Tamandua tetradactyla: one gene and its partners. The protein of the gene in region 1 interacts with the protein of each later gene in a biochemical or structural test. Links are inferred from orthologs where the notes say so. Each region holds a gene or a part of one and is shown on either strand. Other genes may lie near its edges.

Region 1 (10,325 bases):
ACTTACAGCAGTGGCTGGCACACAGAAAATTATCTGAATGTTTGCTGTAATTCCCTAACTACTTTGTCCCAGCAGACAGTGGTAATCACATTGGCTGAGGCATCAGGATGCCCAGGTTGACCAGCTGGGTGACCCTGGGATATCCCTTTCTCTCTCTGTGCCTCAGTTTTCCTCTTCCATAAACACGAGGAGGCTGGGCAGGATGGTCTCTTCAAAAGGGTCCTTCCCACTCTGATTTGCCAGACTTCTGACATGAGGATTGAGAGTTTTTCAGGGACTTGGGGTTGGAGAGAGATCTTGGGGGTGTGGCAATGAAGTATTTTATGCCAAACACTAAAGATTCAAACAACCAAAGAACCTCATTCATCCAACACAGTGTCCTGGGAATAAATGAAGTCCACTGCTAACAAGGGTTGAAAATTATTACAGATGATATGCCACTAAGGCGGGGGAAGCCTTGGGTACTGCCTCACCCCTTAGGGAGCCTTTGTTCTGAGAAGGGGAAGGAGGAAGCCGCAAGAGCGGAGAACTGCGACGAGTGACTAGGGGCTCAAAGACAGGGGTTTGGGGGTGGGACAGTACGGGATGTTTGCTAAGCAACTGGGCTTGAAGCCCTGATTGGCGGAGGCGTTGCTAAGGCAAACAGTGCCGCTTCCTTTGATTGGCCAGTTAGTTAAGGACACCCGGAAGGTGGAGCTTCCCAAGATGAGCAAGGGAGGAAGCCCTGCCCCCTCTCCTTACCAGGAAAAGGAAGGGGGGAGGCGTGTAACTAAGGCCCGCATCCCTGGCAGTGGGCGAATATACTCCCTTTACATACCCAGGCCCGGACATCCTAAGAAGGTAGGCGGCTGGCTAGTATAGTAGTCTCCAGCACAGCCAGCTAGCCGGCCTGCCGACAGAGCTGGGTTCCCAGGACCCTGGGACCTGGGAGGGCTCCCTTCTTACTCTCTAGTGGCCCAGGGCTGCAGGGCAGGGCTAAGCTACTTCCCCGCCCCCGGCAGGGAGACAGCTGGCGGGAGGAATGCAAGGGCCCTGCCAGGCAGGCGGGCTCCGGGCGGGAGGCCGGCGTGGAGCCGGAGCCGGCCTTATATGGGCACGGAGGCCACCCGCTTATCTAGGCGGCCAGCCTCCTGTCAGGATAGCAAGGATGGACACCTGTCCCTCAGAATGAGGGTCACTAACCAGGCTCTACTCCACAGCTGTGGGCACCTATGCACCTGTCCTGGGCAAGGTTGGGAGAGGGACACCCTCCCCTCTTTCCCCTCTCTGTGCCACAAGTCCCTTCCCATCCCTCCCTCCTTGGATAGGGACCCCAAACACACCTTGGTCTCCCCACTGCTGTCAGACTCCGACACCTGGTAGGTGAGGTCTGTCTCTTCAAAGCCTGTGGCACTCATTCTCTGGTCTGTTGTGGGGTCGGAGCGGGGTGGAGAGTCTGGCGAGTTGAGGCAGGTCTGAATCAGCGCCTTGCCCGTCTCACTGGTGATCATGGGCTGCAGTTTGCGGGTGGCAAAGGTATACACATGGCCTGTCTCACTGGCCACCAGCAACAGCACCTGTGTCCCTGTCAGCGTAGACAGCTCATAGGCCTAGGGGGGAGATGGGCAGGTCAGCAAAATTTTTCATCTCTAACTTCCTTGAGAAGTAGGAAAGAGAGGAAGACCACAGTGACCTCGAGCCCCCTACCATAATGACCTTCCACTCCTCTAACTCTAGGGGGTCCTATGTGGATATCAGAAGATGACATCCTCTGAGGAACAGAACCATCAACTTGTAGATATCCTAAGGAAATAGCTATGGCCCCCTGATGATGGGGGACCTCTGTAGACATGAAGGGGCCCAATTAACTGCTTCTCACTAAAGCTTAGTGCCCTAAGCCTTATAGAGAGACGGTTCCCATGCCCTCCTCACTGTCACGGACTAGGATGGTATCCCCACCACAATGGAAATCACACAAGCCATTAGGCATAAGGGCCACCTAAGCTCCCCGAGTTTCTTCCCAGAAACTACCCAGGTGTAACCTGTTGACATGGCCTCACTTGTTCTGCTCTATAATACTGCGCTACCCTTTTTCCTTGCTTAGTCTTAGAGAGGAAGTATAAGTATGTAAGGAAAAGACAGTCTTGCGTCTGAGCTTTCCTTCGTGGGCATCCCCCTCCCTAACCTTCTCTACTGATGATCAAGTGACAAGAGACACTGATACAGCAGTGTCTGGAGTGATGGAAGACAGTGGGAAGACCCCACTATGAACCCAGGCAGGGGAGCCTTCAAGTGTGGCCCCATAGATGCAATCCTCACTCCCAACAAAATTCCATACCTCCCCCCACCATGGGAGCAGCTCAGGTGTTTTCTGTATAGGAAAAATATAAACACTCGCCAATGTCCAAGGTTCTAGTTTCTAATCTCCCAGTTTTTCTGGTTCCATCCCTTCCCTTGTCTTCTACACCCCAAGATGAGTCCTCTCCTCACCCCTTTCACTGGTTGAATTTCTAGGTACTTCTGTAAATTCCCCCAAACTCCATGCACAGATTCTCCCTAGGGCTGGAAACCCCACTTGTCCCAAAGGTAAGCAGTTCCACAGCCTGTCCCACCAGGAGCATGCCAGCTTTCAGTGATGGCAATGGAAGACACATGGCCATTGCTTGGCTTGGTCTCTGCTGCTCAAGACAGCATCAGTTTTCTTGCCCTGCCCCCTTACCTGGGGCTCTTGAGCCCCACTGGGTCCCAGCGATGCCTGTCCCTCCAGTCAACACTACTTCAGTGGTGCCCACCTTCCTCCCACATAGATTTGCTCATTTCTATTACTGCTTCCCTCCCAGCTCCAGTTTCCAAACCTCTCCACCTTTTCTTCTGCTCCCCGGCTTCGCTCGTGCTCACTCCCACTTCCCTGCCTTACCAACGCCCACTCCCAGCACCAGCGTTCACTGGACCTACAGACCTGGCTGCTCAGTATCCACCTCCCCGGCAGGCTCGCAGCCTCTCAGTACCGCTTCCTCACCCCTTCACTCCACGAGGGCCCTCTTCCTCTCTCGCGCCGGTCACTCCCACCTCGGCGCCTTTCCCTTCTTTCCCGGACGTTCGCCGCATCTCCCCTCTCCCCACATTTCCCTGGCGGCCCCTCCCCTTTCACCCACCCGGGGTAAGAACATCCCCTCCCACACACCTCTGCGGACTCGCCGCCTCTCACCTCGGCTTGGCTCTGCCTTCCTCCCCGGCTTCCCCTGCTCATCCCCACCTCTCCCGGGTCCCCGGTGGCCGGCCAGCTTCCCCGCCCGGTACCTTCTTCATGATGCCCGTCTTCCTCTTGCTGAAGGTCGTGTAACGCCGCAGCTTGTTGTCGATGAACTCCATCTTGATCTTCACGCGGCCCCGGGTCTTCTTACCCGGCTTGGCCCCGCTCACCGCGCCGGTCACCGGCCCGTAACCCCCGGTGGCCGCCGCCGACGCCTCGGGCCCGCCGACCACCACGCCGAGCTCCATCTCGCTCAGGCTCCGCTTCAGGCCGCGCCGCTCGGCGCACAGCTCCTCCTCCTCGCCCGACTCCGAGTCGCCCTCGCTGCCGCTGTAGAGGGCCCCCGCGGTGGGCGCCGGGGTGCTTGCCGCCGCTGCTGCAGCCTCCCGCTCGAGGCGGCCGGGCCCGAGCCCCGCGCCGTTCCCAGGGACCCGGCCCCCGTTAGCCCCACGAGTTCCGCCGCCGCCGCCTCCACCGCCCGGCCGCCCCGTCGGGGTCCGGTTCAGACTGCCCCCCAGGGCCGAGCCCCGTCCCAGCGCCGCCGCGGCCCCAGCTTGGCTCGGTAACATGGCGTTCAATGCAGGAGGGCGGACAGGCAGTCAGCAAGGAATCGGAGCCGCCGCTGCCGCCGCCGCCGCCGCCGCCATCGGCTTCCCGGCTCAACCTGGTGCTCGCGCTCCTGCTAGTGCGGCTTTCGCTGCCGGCGCCGCTGCGAACCCGGGGCCCCTGCACGCCCGGGCCGACCTGGGCCCTCACTTTCCTGCTCCTGTGGCCCGGGTTGCCCCAGGCCGCGCGCAGCGCCCCCTGTCCGTATGCTCGGGCGGCGCGCCCGGCGGCCGTCGGCGTCCCCCGGGGGGCAGGGGCTGCTGGCCGCGGCGGAGACCGCGGGTGGAGGGGGCCGGGACCACGCGCTGGCGGCGGAGGGATCCCCCGACCCTTCCCCCCATATAAAGAGATACAATGTTTCCTTTTATGGCGAGGCCGCTCCTTATATGGTGAGCCCCAGCGCCCCCGCCCCATTGGTCCGCGGTTCCGGCACCTCCGCTCTCCATTGGCCCGCAGGGGGCGCTTATTTGCATAGACATACCAAACTCGCGGCTGTCATCCCGCGTCAGAAGGCGATCCCGAAAGGGGTGGAGCCGACGCCTCTTAAAGGAACAGGAGAGGAGGTACGACTCCGCCCCCCTGAACCGGAGAACAGTAGAGAGAATTGGGAGGGACTGGCCGAGAGGAAACACGGGAGAGGACTGAGCTGAGCAGTCTTGTGGAGAAGGAGCAGCTCTGGGAACCCGGCACCTGGAAAGCTAGAAGCAAATACTTGAAGGAGTCCCTGAGTCAATTGTGGGTTAGTGCAATAAACGGGAAAATACAGCCCAGAAACCATGGAAGAAGTACAGGGATCGGAACGCTTCCCCACTCTTTCCTAAAGGAGGCAAGTCACTGGCCGAGCGAAGGGGGCTTAGGTCTCTGGTGTCCAGACTCCCGCGCCTCCGCCGCTGAGCTCAACCCCTTTCCCCTCCCCCCGACTTCCCTTTCCTCTGTTTTCAAGGCAACGACACTTTCCCACCAGGCAGGCTCCCCAGACCTCATTCATCATCCTCTACACTGGGGGGTCTTTGGCAGACGTTCATCTGGAAGAAGCCGGAGGAGATAGTCTGCCTTCCCGTGCCTGATGGGGACAATGAGGAGAGACGGACATCAGTAAAGACTCCCAGCTGCAGGCTGGGTTGGGGGGAGGGGGTGGTTCCCAGGATAAAGCCCATCCAACAGCCAGTGCAAAGGCCTGAGAGAGAGTGTAGCTGGGCAAAAAGTTTAAGCCCGCGCGCGCACACGCACACGCACACACCCTTCTCTGAAAAGCCATGAAAGTCCGTAGAAGGGGGAGGGGGAAGGCTTAGAACTGTGGTGCTGCAAAGCCAAGGTTTAGGGTAAGAATCCCTGGGTCTGGATCTTAGTTAGCTTCAAGGTAGGGAAAATAGGTTGGGCTCCGCTGTAATAGAAATTATTCAGATCTGGAATGGGCCCATTCCTAGTCCTGCGCCTGGAAACAAGTGATTTGACCTCTCCAAAATCCGTATTCCTCAGTGATGCTACCCATCCCATGAGGTGCCTATGCAGATTTAAGAACAAAACTATTACTTACTTGAGTCAGCAGTCAGGGAATACTAAACAGGAGCTGCCTGGGGTAACTTATCCCTGGAATAAACATTGGTGTGTTTAAGGGGATGGGAGAGTGTGATGATAACTGCTTTAAAAGTTGTGGGAAAATAAATAAATAAATAAAAAGGGGAAATAAAAAAAGTTGTGAAGATAAAAAAATTAGTCAATTTTCAAACTTTTCACTGCCGTTAGTAGTGAAATAAATTTAAGGCACTGCAAACAGCCTTTAAAAGAGTAAAAATTAACAGGCAGGCATCACAAAAAACAAGGGTAACGTCATTGCATAAAACTTCTAAGTTACAATAAACAAAAGACAAAAAAAGAATTAAAAAAACTTCTGAGCTGTAATATACATTGAATATATGCAATTGCCATTTTATAAGTAAAATTGTCATTATCATATGGTTCAATGAATATGTGTATTGGATGGCAATGTCAACTGCATTTCTTACTATAAATCACAATCCAAGGACTAAGACTTACTACAATAAAGTATGTTCAAGTGACTTGTAAGATAAAATGCATCATATATTATTAACATGGGCTTATTTATAACTGGAATTAAGGAACCCTTCTCCTCTGAGCATTTCCCAAATGCTTAAAGTTTTAAAGATATATATATATATTTTTTTTTTTCCTAATCTACTCTACACAACAGGTAGTTAAACATATGGAAAGTGTTAGCTCAAGAGGAAGAACAGGTCAAATAGATAAATAGGTTCCAGAAGGGTTTCTTGGGGGGAGGGGCATAAATGGTTCTTGGGGATGTGTTTTGTTTGAGCAGCATTCCTGCCTAGGCTCTAAAGACTTTTGGTTTGAGACCCCTTGTTTAGACACATGGACAGTTGACACCCACTAGGATAAATAGAGGCTGTTTGGGGGTACTGCCTTCAGCATAGGCACCCTAGAGGGCAACTGCTCTCCATCACCTCCACGCGGGAGGGCGTCCTGGGTGAGCAAGTTCTCAGCTTCCCTTCAAACAGACTGCCCTTTCTCTTGATTTCACCCAGCGTTCATGCCACTGCCTATTCATCTGACTTGGAGTCTTGGTTGGGATTCCTTCATGTTCACAACCTGTTTCACAACAGGAGACCTACACCCACATTGCATTGGATCACTGCAGTTTCCAAGGCTGAAACTGGTGATGGGGATAAAGTGAAAAAAAAAACTGCTCACAGAATGTGTTTTGTTTGGACCATATAATTATAATGAAAAATCAGATTTTACTTAGAAAGCTGAATGTCCAGCCTCTCTAAAAAATTTGTAATTCTTGGCAACTCTATGGATAGGTGCCATAGGAACACTCAGACTTGGAGTAATTGGCTGCAGTAGAAGAGGCCTCTGCTCTCTGGTTCACCACTGAGCCCGCATATCTCAGAAGGCTCAAGTAAGATCCCTGCTTGGCCTCTCTAGAATGTCAACTCAGGAGTTCTCTGATAAGGCCTAAATCAAAGTAAAATTTCCGTCTAGCCCCCTGGAATTGAAGGAAGTTCACATCTACCCCAAATCATGAAAGACCTTCAGCTGAGCACTAGAATTCCAGCCTGCTCCTATGACAAGAAATTTTCCCCTCACACCATACCATTCCTATCCCAGCCTTTATTTCCTTTTCCTGATTTTTATCACCCAAATAATATCAGTACAAAAAATAAAGACTGCTTTTAAAAATTACTGTTGCAACACCCTAAAACTGTTTTTATTTGGAATTAACCCTTACCCAGGTTTTTTTTTAACTAACTTCATTTTTAATTGTGGTAAAATATATATAAAACATAAAAATCATCTTAGCTATTATAAGAGGACAGTTCTTTGACATTTAAGTATACTGACAAGCCTGTGTAACTTTTACCACTATCTATTTCCACACTCTTTTCATCATCCCAACCAAAGCTCGTTCTTCTCATTTAGCAATAACTTCCCATTTCTCCCTCCCCCCACCCCTGGTAACAATTTTCTGCTTTCTGTCTCTACGAATTTCCTTATTCTAAGTATTTCTTATAAGAGAAATCATACAATATTTGTCCTTTTGTGTCTGGTTATTTCACTCACTATGATGTGTTCATCATGTTGTAGTGTGTATTAGAATTTCATTCCTTTTTTGGTTGAATAATATTCCACTGTGTGTATGTACCACATTTTATTTATCTATTCATTTTGTTGGTGGACATTCAGGTTGCTTCTACCTTTTGGCTATTGTGAATAATACTTCTATGAACATTGGTATATGTATATATCTGAGTCCCTGCTTGTAATTCTGGGTATGCATCTTGGAATGGAGTTCCTAGTCATATAGTAATCCTATGTTTAACTTCCTTAGGAGCTGCCAAACTGTTTTCTGCAGTATCTGCACCATCTTACGTACCCACAAACAATGTGTGAGGGCTCCTGTTTCTTTGCATTCTTACCAATACTTGCTTTTTTCAGATTTTTAGTAATAGACAGCTTAGTGGGTATTAGGTGGTATCTCATTGTAGTTCTGATTTTCGTTTCTTTAATGGCTAATGATGTTGAGCATCTTTTCATTTACTTATTGGCTAGCCATTTGAATATCTCCTTTGGAGAAATGTCTATTCAAATCCATTTTCTTAAATTGTCTTTTTGTTGTAGGAGATCTTTATATGTTCTGTATATTAAACCCTTATCAGATATATAGTTTACAAATATTTTCTCCCATTTTGTAGGTTGTCTTTTCACTATCTTAATAATGTCCTTAATGTTTTTAATTTTGATGAAGTCCATTTTGTCTATTTTTTTCTTTTGCTGCTTGTACTTTTGTTGTAAAACCTGAGATTCTATAAAAGCTTCACGTACTAAGATTACTTTCCAGAAACCTACAACCTCCAGAGGGGTTCCTAGACCAGATGAGTCCTGAAACCAGAGATGCCAACCTCTCCAAGAACATCTACTAGTCCTATCCCCCATCCCATATTATCAACACCCCTTTCCAATATGAAAAGTTAGAAAGGGTAGAGTCCAAATATCCTAAAAATTGGGAGAAGGATCAAAGGAGAAGGAGGAGTTATAACAGAGAAGATAGGATTTAACAAATGAGAATGCCTGCTGAATCATTTTATTAATATTTCTTTTAGTCTCCAGTGTCTTGGAGCAGCTAGAAGGAAAAACTTAAAATTGTGGAAGGGCAACCCATACCATATTTTGAAATCTGTTCTATAAGTTACCATGTATTTTGAATTTTATTGCTTTTTGTATAAATGTTATATTTCATAATAAAAACTGTTTAAAAATAAAAATAAACCCTTATCAGACATATAGTTTACAGATATTTTCTCCCATTTTGCAGATTGTCTTTTCACTATCTTGATAATGTCCTTAATGTTTTTAATTTTGATGAAGTCCATTTTGTCTATTTTTTTCTTTTGTTCCTTGTGCTTTTGGTGTAAAATCTAAAAATCCATTAACTACTACAAGGTCCTGAAGGTCTTTCATTTTATTGTAACAGTTTTATTATATTAGCTCTTATATTTAGTTCATTTTGGATTAATTTTTGTATATGATGAGAGGTAGATGTCCACACTCATTCTTTTGCATATAGATTTCCAGTTGTCCCAACACCATTTGTGAAATAACCAAGGGTTCTTAATGGAGGGCAATAGTATTATTTGACCACCTAAACTGATTTCAGTTCAGTTCATTAAACATGGCCTATGTGGGGCCCCATGATGCACTTGGCGCTGTGCTGAGTGCCAGAGTCACAGTGATGAACTTGGATTAACTTCTTGCTCCCCGGCCTTCCCACACTACTCCCCACCCCCAAGTCAGTCCACCTGGGACACATGAAAGGTTTCCCCTACAGAATCTGCTAGCTTTGCACCCCAAGCCATCATCAGTTTTCTTAGAGATCCTTCTCACTGATCCATGCTGAGGGAGACAGCATACTAGAAGGATGTGGCTAGATCAAATCCAACCCCACTGCTTAAAACAAAAACCAAAAAAAAAAACTAAAAAGAAAAAATCTTAAGACCCAAGTCAGTTGGTGTGCTGGTATGTACCCAGAAAAGCCATGTCCTTTTTCCTGATCCAGTCTTGTGGGGACAGGCATTTTTCTTTTATCCTGATTCAATATTGTGGGGAGGAAACTCTGGATTGTTTCCATGGAGATGTGACACACCTAGTTGTGAATGTGGCCTTTTGATTAAATGGAGATATAACTCCACCCATTCAAGGTGGGTCTTGATTAGCTTACTGGAGTCCTTTAAAAGAGGAAATATTCTGGAGAAAGCTTAGAGGCAACAGAGATACAGACACCTGGAGATGTGAAGAGTGCCAACAGAGAAAGCAAATACCTAGAACTGGACATTTAGAGATGCAGAGCCCAGTTAGATGTCACCGTGTACCTTTCCATGAGATACTAAGCAAGACAGAACCCAGAGTTGTGTCCTGGAGGAGCTAAGTGAAGGCTCACAGATGCTTAGAGAGGAAACTACTGGCATCAGAAGCTGGAAGCAACACAACTGAGAACAAGGACCAGCAGATGCCAGCCATGTGCCTTCCCATGTGACAGACATCAGCCTTTCTTGAGTGAAGGTCTGTCTCTGGATGCTTTAGTTTGGACATTTTTATGGCCTTAGAAATGTAAACTTGTAAGTTAATAAGTTCTCTTTTTAAAGGCCATTCCATAAAGTTGGAAAATTACAGTTGGTAACAGAGACCATCAGAAGATAGAAAAAGGGTAAGATATTGGGTAATTGGAGCTGAAGGGATACAGATTTTGCAACGGCACTGATTGTAAAAATTCAGAAATGGATAGCAAAATACTACCTAACTGTAATGCGTTATGTTAGAACACTGAATGAAGCTGAATGTGAGAATGATAGAGGGAGGAGGGCTAGGGGCATAAATGAAATCAGAAAGAAAGACAGAAAATAAAGATTGAGATGGTATAATCTAGGAATGCCTAGAGTGTATAATGATA
Region 2 (10,826 bases), on another chromosome or scaffold:
ACAGAGGGGTGACAGGCTGTGACTTGGAGTTTAATCGGATCCCTCTGGCTCGTGTGAGGAGAGCAGACTGTAGGGGCTGAAGAGGCTACTGTAACAGTCCAAGTGAATGATGATGGCGGTAGAAGCAGAACTCGTGAGAAGTGGATGAATTCTGGATAACATCTGAAGAAAGGGCCAGCAAGATTTGTTGACAGATAAGAGAAAGAGAAATCAAGGGTGACTCTATGTTTTTGGCCTGATCACCTGGAAGGATGGAGCTGTGATCAACTGAGATGGGGAACACTATGGGAGAGCAGGTTGTAAGGGGGAGATCGGGAGGCCAGTTTTGGAGATGGCCAGTTTCAGAGGCCTGTTAGACATTTATGTATATGCTATGAAGAATATTAGTTTTAAAAATAGCAACCAGACACATAGCCCTTTCTATGCATTACCTATCATTTGAATTCTTTTCTTCATTTAATCTTCAAACCAACACTATAGGGTGGGTATCATCAGTATTCTCTCCATTTTTAAGGTGAGAACATGGAAGCACAGAGAAGATAAGTAACTTGCCCAAGGTCACAGAGCTGGAAGACAGCAGAGCTGGGATTCAAACCCAGGAGGTTTGGCTTCAATTAGTGATCCTAACCACCTTACAACACTAGCTCTCTCTGAAGAAAATAACAGAAGGGTAAGATCCCAGAGAGTAATGGGGTTGCCTTCCCTGAACAGGTGACAGTGAACAGTGACCCGAAGGGGAGGAAGTAGCAAGCCATGTTGTCTGTGGGAAAGGTGCTTCAGGAAGGTGCAACAGCATGTACAAAGGCTCTGAGGTGGGCACAAGCTTCACATGCTATATCATGGCTACCCTTAACTATTCACAGTTCCCCTAATGCACCAGGAGACTTCTCACATCTGAGGATACACATGTGCTGTTCTCCCTGCCAGGGGTGTCCTTTTTCTGTCCTGTACCTGAAGAACCCTTTATTACACAATCATCAAGTTCTGTTTCCTCTCTAGACAGAATTCATTCTTCCTCTGCATGATCCAATGTGCCGAATAACCCATCTGCCCTTGCAAAACTACTTCTTTCTCTCTGGATCTTCAACATCATACTCCTTGGTCCTGTTCTAGCTGTGTGACCTTGAACAAATTACTCAACCTCTCTGTGTTTCCTGAGCTGTAAAATGGGGGTCTTTTTCTCTCAAAAAGTAAAATATGCTCAAAAACACAACTACCCTCAAAGGTTTTTGTGAGGATTAAATGTGTCAAGGATTTAGATATTTAATTCCTTGTGAGGATTTAGAAAGCACACATAAACGACTTGAAAAAGTATCTATGGCACATGGTAGATACTCAACAAATGTTAGCTATTAGCTAGTATGTCAATCTTCTCCCTCCCCAAACAGCTCCCCCTTCCCCCGCCCACACCATCTGGCTTCTGTCACCAATGTGACATCACCTCCTACCCTTATCCCCTTCGCTCATTCCACTCCATCTGTCCTGGCCTCCTTGATGCTCCTTGAACATGCCACGCACTAGCCAGGGACTTTGCACTGGCTGTTCGCTCTTTTGTACAGTATTCCCCTAGACATTTTGGTTCTCTCTGTCACCTCCTGATCCAGGCCTTAATTCAAAAGTCACCTTCCAAATGAGGCTGCCCTGGCCACCCTAAGATTTCTTTTCTTTTTAATGTTTTTTAAAAATCGCAAATATAACATATTTACAAAGCAAAGAAAGAAAAAAGCAATAATTTTCAAAGCACTCTTCTACAAGTAGTTACAGAACAGATCCCAGAGTTTGTCATGGGCTACCATTCCATTATCTCAGATTTTTCCTTCTAGCTGCTCCACCTTAACATTTCAAACACCCCAATACTCAATGTCTACCTTCCTTTCTTCTCTTCATACTTCTCTAAAATACCATCTAATTTTATTTACAGTTTTATTTATATAGGCTGTCTCCCTCAATAAATGGCTGCTGCACAAGGGCAGAGATATCTGTCTGTTTTGTTCCCTCCCAAATTCTCAGCACCTAGAAGAGCATCTGGTACTCAGTAAATGTTTGTTGAATGAACAGATCCAGCTAACTAGCCTCTTAACTAGCTCTCATGTCCCCTCTTCATCTCCATCTGTCTCCCACCCTGATTTGTCTGAAATTATTTTTCCATTCATTCCCATAATAAATTCTTATTGAGCACCTACTACATGCCATGTACATTTTTAGGTGCTGGAGACACAGCAGTGAATAAGCAGACAAAAACTATAAACCCCATGGGACTCCCATTCTAATGGGGAGAGACAGACAGAAAGGATAGTGAACTGGTAAATTATGCAATGTGTCAAGAGTGTGACAAAAGGCAGAGACAAATACAGCAGGGAAGAGGCCTGAGTACTGCTGGGTGTGTGGGTCCAGGGATCTCTTTTAAACAAGATGGTGGGAGGACCTCATTGAGAGGCTGACATTTTAACAGAGCTGTAAAGACAACCATGCAGATATCTGGGGGTAGAGTGTTCTTGGAAGAAAGAAAAGTCAGTGCAAAGGCCCCAAGGCTTGGTGTATTGGAGAATCATGAGGAGGCCAGTGTGACTGGGGCAGAGTTAGTGAGGGGGTGGAGGTCTAGGAGGTGAGGTCAGAGAGGTAACTTATTTTATTGTTACTAACTCAGGTATTCTTTATAAATACTGGGCAGGGGTGGGGTGATGGGGTTCTCACCCTATTCTCCCCATCTTGGAAGAGAGAAAACAGGCACAGAGAGAAGACAGTTAATTTACTAATCTAAGGTCACAGTTGCTGTAGGACTGGGGATGGGTGGGTGCTGGGACAAGGTGTGGAATGGAGACATCTCTGCAGGCAGAGGGAATTGCAAGAATAAAAGCTTGGAGATAAGAACTAATTTGATTTTAACGGAGTGGGGCTTATGCGGGGTTTGATGAAGTGACAGAGGGGAGCCTCAAATATTATCCTGTGCCCTAAGGGGCAACCTAACCTGGTTCTTTCTGAGATTACCTTTGAGTAAGGTATCTAACCTCCCCATGCCTCAGTTTTCCATCCGTGAAATGGGGAAAATGATAATACCTATCTCATAGGGTTGTGGTGAGGATTAAATGAGTTCATTAATATAAAACACTGAAAAAGCATGCCTTACATACTAGGTGCTTGATAAATTTTAGCTCCTACTAGCATTATTATCATTATCACTAATGTATTCATTTATTTTAGTAAGGAAGAATGTCTTGGTGGTTAAGAGTGTGAGGGGGTGTGTTCCAGAGTAAAAAAGACCTAGGTTCAACAATCACACAGACTTATCCACTATTATTGAAGGGGGGGGGGGGCAGGGCATGGACTGAGGCACCACAAGGAAAGGAGGGGGAATATAAAAGCATTGGATTCATAGATGGGCAAGTGGGGGTAGGGACGTGAATGTAAGCACACAGGTAGCAGGAAGGCCATTGGACAGATCCACTACAAAGAGGGGATGGGGAGTAAGGCCATGAACTCACCTACTGGCAAATAGGGCAGCAGAAAAGCTCACTAACTGATACACTACAGTGGAGGGGAAGAAAAGCCATCACACAGACTGATAAAAGGAGATAAGCACAAGGCTATGGCCTGCGCTCCTGGAAGTGGGGAGATACAAAGCACTAGACTGATTCAGAATTAAAAGGATAGGAGAAACCCACGAATTGACAGTGTACAGAAAAGGGAGGAGAGACAGGGCAACGGACTGATGACTAGGGGGATGTAACTGATCCACTATAAAATGGGGTGGGTGGGGGGAGAGGGAGGACGGCAGATAAAGTCATGGACCGCTGCACTTGGGGACTGGAGGAGAAAGGAATATAAACTGACAGACTATTCAAGAGGGGTGAGGGTACAACGCCACGGATTAATTCACTACAAGGAAGAGGAGGGGTAGAACAAACAAGGCCACAGACGGGTCCCTTGAAAGTTGCGGACAGAAAAATACAAGCACCCAGACTCACCTATATATAAAAGGGGTCCGACAGTGCCACAGACTGATCCCTAATAAGTGGGGATGGGGGCTAGAACATGGACGGGTCCACTGTAAGTTGGGATGGGGAAAAATTCAAGCACGCAGGCTGATCCATTACAAAACGGGAGCGGGGGATAGACCACACTCAGATATACTACAAGGGGCGAAGGGAGGGGACAATGCCACGGGCAGTTCCACCAGCGGTGGCGGTACTGTGGGGAGTCGAATACCAGTAGGCGATGGGCCAAGCCACATCGCCCCACGCGGGGGCGGGAAGGATACAAGGGGTCACGGACGCGGGCCCCCACCCTCCAGGCCCAGGGCTCACCTGTGCAGAGCGGTGCAGCGGCGTGGGCAGTGTTGGCAGCTCCGGGGGGCGGGGGCTCCATGCGCGGCCCCACCGCCCCCCAGGCTCGGCTCTGAGGCGGCGGCGGCGGTTGCGGCGGCGGCGGCACCCACAAGCCGCCCTTGCGTTTCCCTACCGCTCACGTGGGCCCATGGGGGCGGAGACAAGCGTCCTGCCACTCGCTGGTTGGCCCAAGCAGCACAGATCAAACGTGCGATTTCGGGAGGTGGGAGTGAGGGGCGGGCCCCACAGCCTCAGAGCTGTGCCTTGATTGGCCCAAGCGGAACTGTTGGAACGCGGATGGCCGCCCGAGGGTCGGGGCGGGGGAGCGAACCCAGCCCCACAGATGCCCTGTGCTGATTGGCTCAAGGACTGATAGACAGTGGGCGGCTGACAAGGGTCTGGGGGCTTCTGCCTGCACGGATTGGCCTAAATAGGATTGATGGAAGAGATAGCCAGCCTCGGAGAAGAGGGTGGGCCCTACCCTTTGCTGATTGGCGGAAAAGTGTCTCCTAGACAGCTGCCAAAACATCAAGGGGGCAGTGCCGCACTCCACGCTGCTCAGCGGAAGCCGGACTTCTATAGAAGTGGGAGTAGCAGTGGACCTGGCGGCCAGCGTAACTCTGAGGACTGGCTAGAAAATACTAATTTAGATTGGAGCGGAAGTAGGAGGGCGGTACGGCTGCTAGACACGAGAAGCGCTGAGTGGAGGAAATCAAATGCCTACGAAGAGGGCAGGGTCGAGCCGCGGCCAGAATTACAAAGGGGAGGAACCTGGCTCTACTCTGATTGGCGGAAGCTGGACTCATCTTAGCTTAGAGGCCCGCGCAGGGCTGGGGAAGGGCGGGACCCAACTCTGCACCTATTGGCAGAAGCTTGAACCATTAAGAAGTAGGGGTGAGGCCGAGGTTGGGCCGAGAGGAACTAGGGCATAATTAGGGTATTTGCGGAACGACTACGGCGCAGGGCAGGGGTAAGCCTTAGCGCCAGGAGTGAAAGGGTGACTGTGTTGGTACCAAATCTTCACCCTGAACTGGCTCATTCTCTGTGGAAACTCAAAGGGTGGTTTCCAGGAAAAGGAATGGAATAAAAGGAATGGAAGGAAGGGTGAGGTGGGGGGTCCAGGTTGTCAAGACTACAGAAGAGAGGGCAGAGTATAAAGGCCAGTGGTAAACGCTGCCAGGCAACCGGGCAGAGAATTGAGGCAAGTGGTAAAGGTTGCCAGGCAACAGGCTGGAGGCGGGACTTCTGGGATGCTTTATACCTTCCATATGGAGATTGGAGCTCCGAGCCTCCTAGTAACAGTGTGCTCTAGAAACGGCACCTTGGCAACCAGTAGGGGTTAAGGAGAAAAAGAAGGGCCATGGAACTCAAAGGCATTCAGGCTCTTTAATGTCGGAGAAGGAGGGCAGGAAGTCAGTAATGAGGCATCTCTGGGAAATTCTGCAGGCCTTGTAGCTCTCTAAGCCCCTAAAAAAGAGGACAGAAGAGTTTGAACAGACACTGGGTCCAGGCCCCACCCCAGGGTTGCTGTGACCTCTCTACCCTTGGAGTCAGCCAAGCTTCAGCTTGGCTCCAGCTCAGGTGAAAAGATGGTTCTTCCCTTCTCAGGTTCTCTCCCTTCCTCAGGTCATCACCCTAAACACATTTGGAGATAGAGTCTGTGAGCTGCTCTCACCTCTAGCAACATGTGGATATGGGCCTTGATATTCATGGAGTCCCTGGTGAGGCTGTCGCTGAGCCTGGAGAAGGGAAACAAGAAAGGGCGAAGTGGGCCCCACATGAGATTATGAGGATGACTCTTCTTCACTTTAAGAACTACCTATAACCTGGATAACTTTCACAGGTCACCAGGCCTGGCAGCCACCTGGACTTCACTGATTCAAAAGACATTTACTGAGTGCCTGCTGTATGTCAGGCAGTTCTAGGCATTGGGGGTCAACAGTGAACACAACAAAAATCCTGGCCTTGTGGAACTCACATTCTTATTATGAGACACAGATAGATAAATGATGGAATAAAATATACAGTATACATATGGATTAAAAATAAATAAATAATGGGGGAACAAATGTTAAAATAAATTTAGCAGATTGAAACGCTAGTGATCAATGAAAGGGAGGGGTAAGAGGTATGGTATATATGAATTTCTTTCTGTTTTCTTTTTCTTTTTCTGAATTGATGCAAATGTTTTAAGAAATGATCATGATGATGGATATACAACTATGTGATGATATTGTGAATTACTGATTATATATATAGAATGGAATGATCATATGTTAAGAATGTGTTTGTATGTTGGTACATTTAATAAATAAAATAAATGAAAAAATATATACAGTATGTCAAATGGATATAAGTGCAATTAAAAGATTTAAACAATGGCTCTCCTGCCGTGCTAGAGACCTGGGTTCTATTCCTGGAGCCTGCCCATGCCAAAAAAATAAACAAACAAACAATGAGGAAGGTTAAGGAGTGCAGGAGTAGGGTCTACAATTTAAAATAGAATGCCCAGAAATGGATTCACTGAGAAGCATCTGAGCAAAGACTTAAAGGAAGGGGAGAAGTTAATTACGTGGCTACCTGGAGGATGAGTGTTCTAAACAGAAGGGATAGCAAAGGGTGCTGAGGTGTACCTGGTATGTCTGAGTCACAGCAAAGAGGCCAGCATGGCTGGAAAAGAATAAGCAAAGGGGGACTGTAGTAAGAGGTGAGGTCAAAGAGGTTAAGGATGGGAGGCAGGTTGTATAAAACCTACAAGGCCATAGTAGAGACTCTAGCTTTTTTTTTTTTTTTTTACATGGGCAGGCATCAGGAATGGAACCTGGGTCCTCTGGCATGGCAGGCGAGCATTCTTGCCTGCTGAGCCACCGTGGCTGGCCCGAGACTCCAGCTTTTATTGTGAGATAGGAGCCATAGAAAAGTTTTGAGCAGAGGAAGGCTGTGAACTGACTTGGGTTTTAAGAGAATCCATCTGGCTGCTGTGAGAAGGATTAATTGGGGGTAAGGGGAGAAAATGTGGAAGCATGAAGTCCAGTGATGAGGCTGTTGCAAAAGTCCAGGTGAGAGATGATGGAGGCTCAGACCACAGTGGTAGCAGTTGAGGTGATTAGAAATTATTGGATTTAGGATATATTTTGAAAAAGGGTTGGATATCAGATGTGAGAGGACTCAAGGAGGATGCCAAGGCCAAGCAACTGGGAATCTGGTGTTGTCATAGACTGACAAGGGGAAGACGGCATACAAGTTAGTGGGGAGGAAAGGAAGATCATAAAATTTCCTTTGTACATATTAAATTTGAGATACCTCTCAAAGACCTTAAACTGATGACTAAAGGTAACATTATCCTGAAAAACTGTTCTTCTAAAAGAAATGTATTCAACAGCCTGATTTCCAATGCCACTCATGGTGGCAGCCAGTTCAAAAGCACTACCCAGGCAACTCGTTTTGGCAACTTCTAGATCCTTCCGCTCTTCCACTTCCACCTTAATCTCCAAGTCCTCCTACTAGCATTTCCGTCTTCAGTTTAGAGTCCACTGCCTATCATATTATCACAATCGCGGCAATACCTTTAGTTTTCTTTCCTCTCTGACCTGTGACCATCCCCTAACACTGCACGACCCAAACTATTCACCAACTGTGTGCCAGGAACAGGGTTAGCAGGTTGCTCTTTAAAAAACTGACAGAGACACTATCTAATATAACTTGTACGGTTAGCTTATTTGAACACCATAATTATATGGAACCATGAATAGGGAGTGAGATCTTGTTGGTTTGTACAGGTTGGTGTGATGCCCCGATAACCCCAGAGTAAGTTGGGCAAAAGATTAAAAAGTATTGGCACACTCCTCTTGAGGGACTGGGGAAAAGGTGGAAATATTAAACTTCTCCACCAGGGGAAGACCTGATATTCTCGCAAATATTGGGGACTGCCAATTTGATGGGACAAGTCCTTGATCTTGGGGCTTGCTCTTATGAAACTTTTTCCTGCAAAGGAGAAGCTAAGCTTACTTATGATTTTGTCTAAGAGTCACCCTCAGAGAATCACTTTTGTTGCTCAGATGTGGCATCTCTCTAAACCAACTTTGCAGGTAAACTCACTGCCCTCCCTGCTATGTAAGACTCCCAAGGGTGTAAATCTCCTGGCAACATGGGACATGACTCCTGAACATAAGCCTGGCCCAGGAATCATGAGAGTAAGAAAGCTTTCTCGACTAAAAGGGGGAAGAGGAATGAAACAAAATAAAGTTTCAATGGCTGAGAGATTTCAAATAGAGTTGAGAGGTCTTTCTGAAGGTTATTCTTATGTAGTATATAGATACCCCATTTCAGTTTTTGGTGTATTGGAGTAGCTAGAAGGAAATACCTGAAACTGTTGAACTGTAATCCAATAGCCTTGATTCCTGAAGATGACTGAATAACTATAGAGCTTTTAAGGTGTGAACGTGTGAGTGTGAAAACCATGTGACTGACACTCCCTTCATCCAGTGTATGGACAGGTGAGTAAGAAAAAAAAAAAGACATGGGAGGTATGGGATGTTTTGGGTATAGTTTTTTTTTTCTTTTTTTGCATAGGCAGGCCCCAGGAATCAAACCCAGGTCTCCAGCATGGCAGGCAAGAACTCTGCCTGTTAAGCTATCGTGGCCTGCCCTGGGTATACTTTTTTACTTTTATTTTTATTGTTTTTGGAGTTAATAAAAATGTTCAAAAATCTATTGTAATGATGAATGCACAGCTTTATGATGATACTGTGAACCACTGATTGTACACTTTAGATGATTATATCTCAGTAAAAAATCATTGAAGAAAAAAGAATCAACAGATCTTCCTAGTTAAAAAAGTGACAGAGAGCTGCAGCTGGGTATCATTTCATAGGATTTCTAAAAGTATGGATCAAGAATCATTAAATAGAATCATCCAGGACCTTGTTAAAATGTACTCCTAACTCTCAGAGATCCAAAAGTTTGTAAATCATGCATCCTAAATTCACCAACCTCCATGGGGCCCTCAGTGCTGCCACTTACTCCTTTCTCTGGCCAACTTGTCTGCCATGACTATTTCAGAGCCTTTTTTTTTAGATCACTGAAACACACTGAGCTCCTAGTGTATAAGGCATAGTTGATGAGAAAGAAAATTGCATGTGGATATATGGGGAGTGAACAAAACAAAGGAAACAATAGCTCTTTTAAGAGTCTATTGTCCCCTGGGGGAGAGAGAAATAAGGCAACTAAACAAATGCTATAAGTGCTATGATGAACAAGCATTGTGTTCTCTGAGAGAAAAACAGCAGAGGTCTAATAAATATTGTGGTAGGAGAAAAGGGTAGAAAGTGGGTCCTGATCAAATCATTTGAGCCTCGGATCAAGTAGTGCCTGGAATTGCTCTGATCCTGGACTACTGAGTTACATAAACCAGTAAATTCCTTATGTTTAAGCTAGTTTGGATAACGACTTACCCAAAATAATTCTAATTGATAGAAAGGGTGAAAGAAGGTCTTTCTGAAAATGAAGAATGAGTAAGAACTGAGAATGAGTAAGAGTTAAACAGTGGGAGGGACTTTTCCACAAAAAGGCCAAGAGGCAGGAAAGAGTTTTTTTGAGAAACAGGCAGGAGGCCAGAGTGTTAGGGATTAAGTGAATGGTAGAAGGAAAGTGGTACATTCAAGATAAGGTCTAGGAGGGAGGGAAGGGCAGGATCATGCAGGTTTCAACAAATGATTGTCAAACATACAGAGAAACAGGAAGCAATGGCTTAGGCAAAGGAGAAGATTAAAGCATTAGAAACCATCAGTGAAGAGGATCAGACCTAGGACATTCTAGACAAAGACTTAAAAATAATGGTCCTACCTTCCTGGCAATGTGAGACAGAAATCCTAGAATGAGCTGAGACTCAGCATCAAGGGATTGAGAAAAACCCTAGAATGAGCTGAGATTCAGCATCAAGGGATTGAGAAAACCTTCTCGACCAAAAGGGGGAAGAGTGAAATGAGACAAAGTGTCAATGGCTGAGAGATTCCAAACATTGTCGAGAGGTTATCCTGGAGTTTATTCTTACACATTAAGTAGATATCACCTTGTTATTCAAGACGTAATGGAGAGGCTGGAGGGAACTGCCTGAAAATGTAGAGCTATGTTCCAGTAGCCATGTTTCTTGAGAATGATTGAATAATGACAGAGCTTTCACAATGTGACTGTGTGATTGTGAAAACCTTGTGTCTGATGCTCCTTTTATCTACCTTGTCAACAGACGAGTAGAACATATGGAATAAAAATAAATAATAGGGGGAACAAATGTTAAAATAAATTTAGTTTGAAATGCTAGTGATAAATGAAAGTGAGGGGTAAGGGGTATGGCATGTATAAATTTTTTTTCTGTTTTTGTTTTATTTCTTTTTCTGAATAGATGCAAATGTTTCAAGAAATGATCATCATGATGAATATGCAACTATGTGATGATATTATGAATTACTGATTATATATGTAGAACGGAATGATCAAAATAGG
Region 3 (10,002 bases), on another chromosome or scaffold:
AGGGAGGGTCTCAGCGAACATTTTGGGAAGGGCTGGTGGTGGGGAGAGGGGCTAAGGAGGAGAGGACAGAGTGGGGAGGAAAGCAGAGGCATCTCCACCCAGGCAGCAGCTGCTCCCAAATATGTCACAACTTGTCAAAGAGGCAGAAATAGAAGCTGTAATGGGAGTGGAAGGGGGTGGGGTGGCATGCTGGAGCTTTTGAACCCACAGGGAGTGGCTAGAAGGAAAGGGAAGCAAAAGAGGCAGGGGACTGAACCCAGAGGTGAGGAAGGCAAAAGGCAGTTCTAAGGAGGTAGAGATGGGTCCAGAGAATATCTGACTGCCTTCCAGGGAGATTGAGTATGGAAGCAGAAGAGGAGATGGGAAAGGGACAAAATATCCCAAGGAAACTTGTCCCCTTGATTCTATTAGTCATTCTTTAGGTCTGTGCCTGGCTCAACAACCCTCACGACTATCCTCTACCCTGACTCATGGGCATTTCCTCCAGACCTACACAGAGTCAAAAAAGAATTTTGCCTCTCAAATGGGCCATTTGGATCATTCAGTCCAGCATTGTGATTTACAGATGGAGAAATTGAGGCCCAGAGAGGAGAAATGACTGGCCCAAGGTTCCACAGCAACATGCCCTGCCTCCTGGTTCCTACAGCCACTTTTCCTTAACTTCCCAAGAGTAGCTGCCTTAACCAGAAGCTGCTCAAAGGAATGTGGAATGGTCCTAAGGAATCCTCACTGGCATTTCCCAAGTCCCCACTAGATCCAGGCCCCCAAGTCATACTGTGGCAACAAGCTCGCTGGAGCCCTAATCTGTTATTTCTAAAACTAGCTCTCTGTTTTGTCTTCACTGGCCACCTCCCTGTGACCCCTTATCCCCACTGACCCATCCTCTTCCGCCTCCAGGCTGGCTCCTTCCACCCCAAGGCCAGAGATTCCTGATGAATGAGCCGGATTCTGAGCTCCAGATTCCTGGAAGGGATGGGATTTCCCAGTGGTTATCTGATGCTTGGTCTTCAATGGAAACAATGTGTGGCCTCTGGAGGACTGGGGCCCTTCCCTCTGCTGCACCTCTCAGCCCTGGTTTCCATCTGCCTCTAAGCCAAACCTCTCCTCCTGTCTCAAAGACCTCAGGCTTCCCTGGGCCTCTCCAGCCAACTCTGTCATACCTGTCTTGTGTCTTCTTTGCATCTCTTCATCACTATTTCACCCAGCTGTCTCCCTGAGCTCTCCATTTTAGCCTAGAGTATGTCCAATCCATTTGCTGCCTGTCTACCTGTGGCCCACAGGCCCACCTGGAAAGTATGTACTCACACGTAGCCACCTTCTTCACTCCACCGCCTCAGAGAGGGAGAGGAAACACTGGATTCAACCCTCACGCCTAACCGCAGACAGTCCAAGAGCTGACACCCTTCACATATTTGACACTAGCTCTCTGCACCCGTGGGTAAGTCACTTCCCTTCCCCAGGCCTCAGTTTCACCCAGAAGAAGGTGAACTAGCTGATCCTTAAGCAGCTTTCCAGCTGTGGCATCCTACGATGGTGCGACCAGTTTTCACTCTCCTACAAAGCTACTGTCCCACACGCACACACACAAAATGAGTATTGATTTGCATGCCATGGTTCATGTATCTAGATCCTGTTGAAATGCACAAGCATTCCTGCCACTTAACCCCCACTTAATTCTCATCAGTAATACGGAGAACCAGCCTAGGAAACAAGAAGTGGAGCCTGTTTGGAAAAGCCAGAGGTTCCCATCCTTCCAGACACTTCTCATCTCCCTCCTCTATTTCTAACCACATGAGACCCTGGGATGGGAAACTTGCTTTGATTTCAGCCAAGCAACCTGGCAGCCCAGTTCAGCCCACCTGCCAGTCAGCAGGAGCTGGAAGATGCTGGAGGTCGGAGAGCTGGGACTGGGTGTGCAGCCGAGGGGGAAAGAAGAAGCAGGGAGCAGGTGAGGGGGATTTCTGAGCACTGTGAAACCTAACCGCTACCATGCAAAAGAGATCAGCCCAGCATGCAAATAGAATCAAGTTGAGACAGTCAGGGTAGGGGAGCAAAGAGCCCGAACCTGAAGCCCAGCTTCAGGATTATGGGCAGAGACTTCTTCTGGAGGCCTGCTGGAAAAGGAGGCTCCGGGGGCGGGGGTGGAGCCTGTGTGTCCGAGCAGCAGGGGTGGGGATTAGGGCTGGATGCCCTGCTGTCAGGTTCGGGCTGATGGATCTCCGCTGGTGGCAGAGCACAAAGGCTGTTTTGTGCTTGGCACCAATGTGTTCCCATCCATCAGAGGGCAGCCTGTGTGGGATGGTGGGATGTGCAGGAGGAGGAAGGCTAGGCTTCTAGAAGCTTCCCCACAGCTCATCTCTGAAAGAGGAAAATGGTTGTCAATCCCTCCCATTAGGTTTGGAGAGGTCAGAGATACCTGGGTGCCCTGTATTCCCAAACCCAGGTGCTTCTGTTTCCCATACCTGGGCCCTGAAATAGTCCCCAAGACACGCTACTCAGACAACACGAACACATCTACAGACAGGCATTCGTCGAAACCCAGACACATGAGGTCACCTTAACCTCCCAGCCTGCATTACATGTGGGCAGAGGCAAACATAGACACAAGGCCAGCCTGTCACCATGGTGACCCAAACACCCAACTCAAGGTGCTCAACATATCTCCTTGGAAGGGAGGGGAGGGGAGGGAGGAATGAATCCATATCCAGGCTGGCGTCAGGTATTCCATTCCTGCTGTTCTTATATCCTGGAGGCAAAGGAGGACAGGCAGGAAAACAGCCGGAGGGGGAGGACCACGAGGCTTGGGGGTGCATCATGAGTGAAGGAGAGGACAAAGCAAAGAAAGGGACTAATATTTCTTGGGTGTCCCCATGTGCCAGGTGCCACTTCATTTAATACTCACAAACAACCATTCCTCTAGGAGACACACATGCACCATCCTTTTTGCCAGCCTGACACATGCGTCCTCCTGGGGTCCAAGAATCCATCCTCCTGCCTCTGAGAAGGCTGTTGAGACCTTCATCTCCTCACACCTGGATTCCTGTCATAGTCTTCTTGTGGGCTCTTGCCTCAGCATTCCAATCCCTCCATGCTGGTCAGGCCTCCACCCATCTTGGTGGGCTTGTCACCAATCACCCACTTACGTGAACCCTGAGCACCACCCAAACCAGTCTACCCAATGTCCCTTCACCCTCCTCCTCTCTTCCCATCCCAATCCTGCCTGTCCTCCAACACATGGTCCGACAGTTTCCTCCTCAGCTCTTCCAGAAAGACCCCAGCCTTCGGTGGATTCGTCTGTCTACAAACTCCCGAAATACTCTTTCGATGAACCCACTTATTTACAACTGATCGTCACTCTCATGTTTACTGCTGAATTAAGATAGCTCTTTCTTATACTGTAACTTAGCTTTCACACTGGTGTCCGTGCTCACCCACTAGATGGTAAAATACAGGAAATCATCACAGAACAAGCCCATTTCTCCTGCTTCCATTTTTATAGAGAGTGGACACATTGTTTAGAGATAAGTTAGATCAGATCCCAAAAGGACAAAAAGATGCAATATCTGAGTTTCCAGGGTAGCTCTGACACCATTCCTTTTCTCAGGGCTCACAGGATTAGAGTGGAAACTGAGGCAAGGTGTTTTTGTCTTTTTTTAATTTCTTATTTTTGCATGGGGTTGTTTTGGGAGTAGACATTCTTCCTTCTTCAGCCCAGCTGATTGGGGTCAGAGCAGGTTTAGTACTCCTTGCCTCCATGCCAACCCTTTTTATGATGCTGGTAAAGCTAAGAACCAAATTAGGACCTCACTACTCCCCCTCACATATACTTTGTTTTCCTTCTGTGTCCCCCATCCCATCTCTGTCTCCTACCCCAAAAGGACACCCACATTTTCCTGGCCCTCATCACGGATAACAGGAGGGAGGAAGGAAAGCCAGTTGTTTTGAGCCCCGTTCAGATCTCCCTTTCCCTGTGACGTCTTCCCCGCACCCCTGCCAGCGTTCCTCTCCCACTTACTGTCTGTCTTATCCATCACAGGCAGGAGGCAACACACTTAGTCTGTGGGGTCCTAGAGAGAAGAACTGGGACCAAAGGGAAAGAGATCCAGGGGACAAATTTTAGTTCAAAACCCAGGACTCGCTGGATTGGAGCTGCACACCTCTGGGTCAGGCTGCCTTGTGAGGTCAGCAGAAGCTGAAGAGGGATTCGGGCGTCAGGGCTTGGGTAGAACGAGGGGGCCGTGATGGTCTGCTAGATGGTAAGGTCTCTGAGGGTGGGGAGCTGCCTTGGGTTTTCCTGTAATCCCTCAGTGCTGAGACTGAGCCTCACTCATGGCCAGTCTCGGAGGCCTGCCCACTGTATCGGGAGGAATTGTCCTTTCAGACTCCGAGGCCTCTACTGAGAGTGACCACAGACTGAGAAGTCCAAAGATGCAGCAGCCCCTCCCCCCACCTGACATCTGAGAACCTGTGCGTGATACCTGTGAACAGAGGGCAGGGGCAGGAAGGAAGAGGCAGAACAACCCAGCCGGGTGGTCAAGGGGAGCAGAGAATTAACCTGGCTCTGAAGGTCCCTGCTTTCTCTCTTCTTCACACCCATCTCCAGTAAGGAGTCAGGAAAAGTCCGGCATCCTGATGGGGCAGGAAATAGAGTTGGCCAGGCAACACAGGATAGATAAATGGTCCCAAGTGAGGGAGAGAGGACACTTAAAGTTGAATAGATCTTGACCTTACCACTGCGAAGTAGGTGGCAACGTGTAAGCTGTAAACTCTAATCCCTGCTCTGACCCTGACCAGCTGTATTAAAAGGAAAGCTTCCCTGACCCCTGCCAAAACACCCAAACAACAACACAAAGAATCCGCTTGCGTCAGTTTACTCCCAATCACATGAGACCTAAGAAAACAAATGATGTCAAGGCTACTTGGAAACCCAGAAACTGAATCCATTTGTTCCTCTGAATTTCAATCCTTCTTATTCTTGGACAGTGAATATCCACACATACCCCAAATTTGAAGCAGTCTGGTTCTTTGAGGAAGAAGTTTCTAAGAGCCTCACTGACTGACACGGTCTGCCTACGGTGCTGTCAGGAAGCAGGGGAATGGATAAATTGACTTCCTAAATCCCCCTCCAGTCTGAACCCACATCTTCCTTGCCCCCACCCCAAAACCCCGCCCTCATCTTTGGGACCAGCAAGGACAGGGCAGGCAGGCCGCCCGGCTCCAGTAATTGAAAGGAGCAGATGAGAGGAGAATGTGTGTCCTCCCCCACCTCTCCTGCCCCATGGGGGCTGCCGAGAAATGAAAACTAATCAAATTACACCCGACGGCCTCCCTGCCCGTGCACAGGAGCCGGCCTGGGCCAGGGGCAGGCTGGCCACGTGGGGTGGGGGCCGTTGGGGGAGAGGGAAGGGGAATCACATCTAATCCACTGTAAACGTCTTGATGTGCAGCAACAGCTTAGAGGGGGGCTCAGGTTTCTGTGGCGTTGGCTATATTTATCTCTGGTTCCATGCCAGCAGGGAGGGTTTAAATGGCACCCAGCAGTTGGCGTGAGGGGCTGCAGGAGCTTGGGGGCTGGTGGCAGGAACAAGTCTTTTCCGACCCCATGGAGCTATATGAGACATCCCCATACTTCTACCAGGAGCCCCGCTTCTATGACGGGGAAAACTACCTGCCGGTCCACCTCCAGGGCTTCGAGACACCAGGCTACGAGCGGACTGAGCTCGGCCTGAGCCCCGAGGCCCAAGGGCCCCTAGAAGACAAGGGGCTAGGGACCCCGGAGCACTGCCCAGGCCAGTGCCTGCCATGGGCGTGCAAGGTGTGTAAGAGGAAGTCGGTGTCGGTGGACCGGCGGCGAGCGGCCACGCTGAGGGAGAAACGCAGGCTCAAGAAGGTGAACGAGGCCTTCGAGGCCCTGAAGAGGAGCACCTTGCTCAACCCCAACCAGCGGCTGCCCAAGGTGGAAATCCTGCGCAGCGCCATCCAGTACATCGAGCGCCTGCAGGCCCTGCTCAGCTCCCTCAACCAGGAAGAGCGCGACCTCCGCTACCGAGGCGGGGGTGGGCCCCAGCCAGGGGTAAGTGGCCACCCCGCCCACCGGTCCTGGGGGAACAGGGTCAGACGGAGGCCCCGGGCAGCCTCCAGACAGCGTGGGGTGGGGATGGCGGTTGGTGCAGGTGCCAGGCCCAGGCCTTCGGGCGGGGGCAGGGCGGGGAGAGGCGCTGCAGGACCCCTTCTTTTGTCAGAGCTGGTCTGTCCAGCTGACCTTCTGTGTCCTCATGTACTTGTCAGACAAGTTAAAGGCAGTGGGGAGAAGGTACCGATGTGAGGGGTGGGGCACAGGCTGTCGGAGGGCTCCAGAAACAGGTCCACAGCCACCCTGCGTGGGGGTGAGGGCTAATCCGAGTGCCTAGACGCAGGACCTAGAAGGCAAGGCCAAGGTACACCAGAGAAGACTGCTTTGTCCCCCACCCCAGCCCTACCCTGCGAGTGGCTGAGCAGACAGAAAACCTACTCAGTCTCAGGCTTGTGCAGAAATGGCCTCGGTTGGGCCAAACACACTGTCTTTATGCTGAGAGGAATGAACATCAGGGACCCCTTTAAGCTAAGTGACCTCTGAGGGGGAAATCACCACCCAGGATCAAGGCCACGGAAGGTCTGGAAGCAGGAGCTGGGTAGGAGAGGGTGAAAGGAGCTGGTGGTGAAGACTCTGGCGTGGAGGTGTGGCCTGGGCTGGAGGACCATGGCCCTTAGCCCATCCTCCAGCTCCACCACAGGCACTTCTACCCATTTGGGATTGGGCAGAGGAAGCCCTCTAAGAATGGCCGTGCCCTGACCTTGGGCCTTTACCCTATCTTGCAGGTGTCCAGTGAATGCAGCTCCCACAGCGCCTCCTGCAGTCCAGAGTGGGGCAGCGCACTGGAGTTTGGCCCCACCCCTGGGGGTAAGTCGGCCTGGGTCCTGGTAGCCTTGGCTCAACTCCCTCGGCCCCTCCCTAGGCCCAGTTCTCCCCTCTTACCAGATTTCCTGCTCCAGCCCTCTTCCCTTGGCCTCTCCAAGGACTTGCAGAACCCAGTGCCCCAAAAGATGGGCTAAAAAGGAGTGGTCTAGGCCTCCTATAGTTTCCCAGCTAGTGCCTGGTGACTGACCTTCTCTGCAGAGAGGAGACTGTCCCTGCCTCAGGGGTCCCTGGGAATTGCTGAGTCAGTGCTGCATAGCTGGGCCCAGCAAAGGGCAGCTCCAGTCTCCAATGATACACCATCTGGGCTCCACCTCAGAACTGCTGTTTCCAAATCCTAACCCTACTAGGGGAGCTCAGGGAGCAGACAAACACACTCACAGCAATTGGGAAAGGCATGGCCTGGGAAGGAGAGCTCCCGAGTTCTGCTCACACATCTGTCCTGGAGAAACGTGACACGCCCAAAGGGGCCCATCCTCCACTCTAGGCTCAAGACCCCCTTGAACCCCTGTGTCACACCCTCCCCACCTTCTTGCAGACCACCTCCTTGCTGCTGACCCCGCGGACACCCACAGTCTGCACTCACTCACCTCCATCGCCGACAGCATCACAGTGGAGGATGTCTCCGTGGCCTTCCCAGATGAAACCATGCCCAATTGAGATTGTCTGCCAGGCCAGGCTTGGGAGCCCCCCAAGCTGGTCACAGTTGCCTCCACTTCTACAGCAGGGACCTCTACTAAGCCAGGCTGTTCTGAAGCCAGGAAGCCAGCCTGGGACTGCCACATGCCAGGCTCTCCTCCTCCTCCTTTATACAAGGTTAACTCACCAGCCAGCGGGGACCTGAATTCCCTCACTTAGCTGACTCCTTAGAGCAGAGGGCATCCGTTTCCAGGGAGATAAAGCAGGGGACCAGAGCGCCCCCTCACGTATGCCCCCTAGGGCAAGGGGCAAACTCAGGAGCTTCCCTCTTATCATAATGCAGACTCCAACTCCCATTCCCCCAAAGAAGTATTTTAAGACACAAAGATAGTGTCCTGGCCTGGACGGGCTGTGCACATCTCCTGTTTTTGTCTCTTCCTGATGCCAGTGGCTGGGCTGGGCCTGCCCTGAACCGAGGGAGAAGAGGAGGCACAGCCTCTGTCCAAGGGTCCAAGCTTTTGCAGTGAATATTGGGAACCTTCCAGTGGTTTTATGTTTTGTTTTGTTTTGTTTCGTGTGTTGTTTGTAAAGCTGCCATCTGACCAAGGTCTCCTGTGCTCAAGTGGCCAGGGACAGGCAGGGAAGGGAGGGAGGGTGGTTTTGGGGGGTGATTTCTTTTGTTAACTAAACATTGTGTGGTTTTGCCATTGTTTTGTACCTTTTTTTTTTTTTTTTGCTAACTTATTTGGATTTCCTTTTTTAAAAAATGAATAAAGACTGGTTGCTAGAAGAGTGTCAATGATGCAGAGGGAGGGGGATGACTGGGCACGCCTGCCCCCTTCCTACTTGGTGACCCAGACACACCGTAAGGGCAGGGCTTCCAAGGGTTGGAGTGACAGAAGCACTGGAGAGATGCCAACACTCTAGAAGCTCTGGAGGCACCACCCTGCTGATGGGCACTGGGGGCTGAGGACCCCTCCTCTTTCTACCATTGTAAAGGAAGCTGGGTCTGGTCCAGAGGCTGGGGGGAAGACTGGACTTCACAGAGTTCCTCGCGGGACACTCTGCTGAGCAGTTGGATGCACTTAAAGTCATAGACATTGTTCCCAGTCTACTGCCTGCCAGTGTACAGCCCAATAGGTCTATTCGGTTTCAATCAGTTGAGCATGCTCATATGCCCAGTGCTCAGCCCACAGCCAGGTGGCAGCGCTGGAGAGTTGAAATTTGTGGATTTCACCTCCCTAATCCTGCCTCTCCTCTGGTGCTACACGACATCCTGTAGCCAGGCATGGTTAAATTAGGAGTATGGATGTCAGATACTAGACACGCCATAGCAGACTGACTAGCTGGCCCCTTTACACTTCTCCATCCCCGCCAGGATGAAGGAGATTCTGGTCCCCGCCAACCATTCAGAGAATGAAGGCAACCAGGGGAAGGGGCAGGGGCTCGAAAGGTCAAAGGAAAAGAAGTTGGGATGGGGGAGGTCTCTTCATTGGAGGTGCTGTTTTTTTCTGTTTGTCTTTTTCAAACACTGGCTTTCTGAAGGAATAAGTTATGTGGGGGATAGAGATCAAAGATTTTGGATACATTAGGATTAACTACAGAGCTAGGTGCTACAACTTCAAGGGATCATGAACTTCTACAAACACTACTAATTCCAAAAGCTTCTGGCTAAGTTTGTCAGATTTATTGCAAATGACGAGTTTCAGAAACATGACAGAAGTCTTGGGATTCAGAGCACGACACAGCATAGTCCCATTCGATTCCTTAGGGCCCTCTGACAACTGCTTTAACAACTGACATACCCCAGATTTATCCGTCAGCCTCCAGTGACCATTCTGCTCTTGTTCTGGGCTCTGCTGGCCGCTTCCCCCTCCTCCGCCCTCCTGACCTTGATTTTGAAGAGTGATGTCAATACCCGGGACCCAGAGTCTCCCCAGAAACTACCTAAGAAAGAGTAAGAAGCAAGCCTCAGAGCAGCCTCACAGAACCCGGGTCAGGGTGCAGAAGGGAGGGTCTCCCCCAGGACCCACTTACCCCAAACAACAAGTCGGAGCTGGGCGTTTTGGGGACTCTGAACCCCCTCCACCCCCCCAGCCCCAAATCACCAACTAGCCTCATCAGCCCTCATTTGTGGGACTTTCTTCTTCTTAAGTCGCTTCCATGATGCTTAACTTTCTCTGACTCGCTGACCTTGGGGATGGGGGAGGGCAGCAGCCTGGCCCCAAGGCTTTGGCTCTAGAATCTACATTCACTCCCTTATTAACCAACCAAATATGGAAATAGACATTCAAAAGGGATCTTCTCCCCTCGGGCTCATTTCCTTTGCCTCTGACACTTCCCAAATTTAGGGTGGCTACAATCCTGCCACTCCCTTGCCCTCCTCTTGGAAGGGTGGCAGTGGAGGG

What was found.
Region 2: the proteins of SRF (region 1) and ELK1 form a complex in vitro, tested with the Homo sapiens proteins (2 studies listed by BioGRID). The link is inferred for Tamandua tetradactyla from reciprocal best matches to the Homo sapiens genes SRF and ELK1.
Region 3: the proteins of SRF (region 1) and MYOG form a complex in vitro, tested with the Homo sapiens proteins (2 studies listed by BioGRID and IntAct). The link is inferred for Tamandua tetradactyla from reciprocal best matches to the Homo sapiens genes SRF and MYOG.

Annotation. Positions count from the first base shown.
Region 1 is NC_135331.1:100,741,570-100,751,894, reverse strand, and holds the start of SRF (serum response factor), read right to left. Parts: upstream 4,040-10,325; 5' UTR 3,802-4,039; coding exon 3,280-3,801; intron 1,590-3,279; coding exon 1,323-1,589; intron 1-1,322. UniProt on the Homo sapiens protein: SRF is a transcription factor that binds to the serum response element (SRE), a short sequence of dyad symmetry located 300 bp to the 5' of the site of transcription initiation of some genes (such as FOS).
Region 2 is NC_135353.1:122,477,456-122,488,281, reverse strand, and holds the start of ELK1 (ETS domain-containing protein Elk-1), read right to left. Parts: upstream 4,518-10,826; 5' UTR 4,305-4,517; intron 1-4,304. Other genes in the region: protein UXT, read right to left, coding at 5,739-5,792, 6,001-6,064. UniProt on the Homo sapiens protein: Transcription factor that binds to purine-rich DNA sequences. Forms a ternary complex with SRF and the ETS and SRF motifs of the serum response element (SRE) on the promoter region of immediate early genes such as FOS and IER2.
Region 3 is NC_135330.1:60,392,363-60,402,364, reverse strand, and holds MYOG (myogenin), read left to right. Parts: upstream 1-5,564; 5' UTR 5,565-5,602; coding exon 5,603-6,073; intron 6,074-6,858; coding exon 6,859-6,940; intron 6,941-7,493; coding exon 7,494-7,615; 3' UTR 7,616-8,229; downstream 8,230-10,002. UniProt on the Homo sapiens protein: Acts as a transcriptional activator that promotes transcription of muscle-specific target genes and plays a role in muscle differentiation, cell cycle exit and muscle atrophy.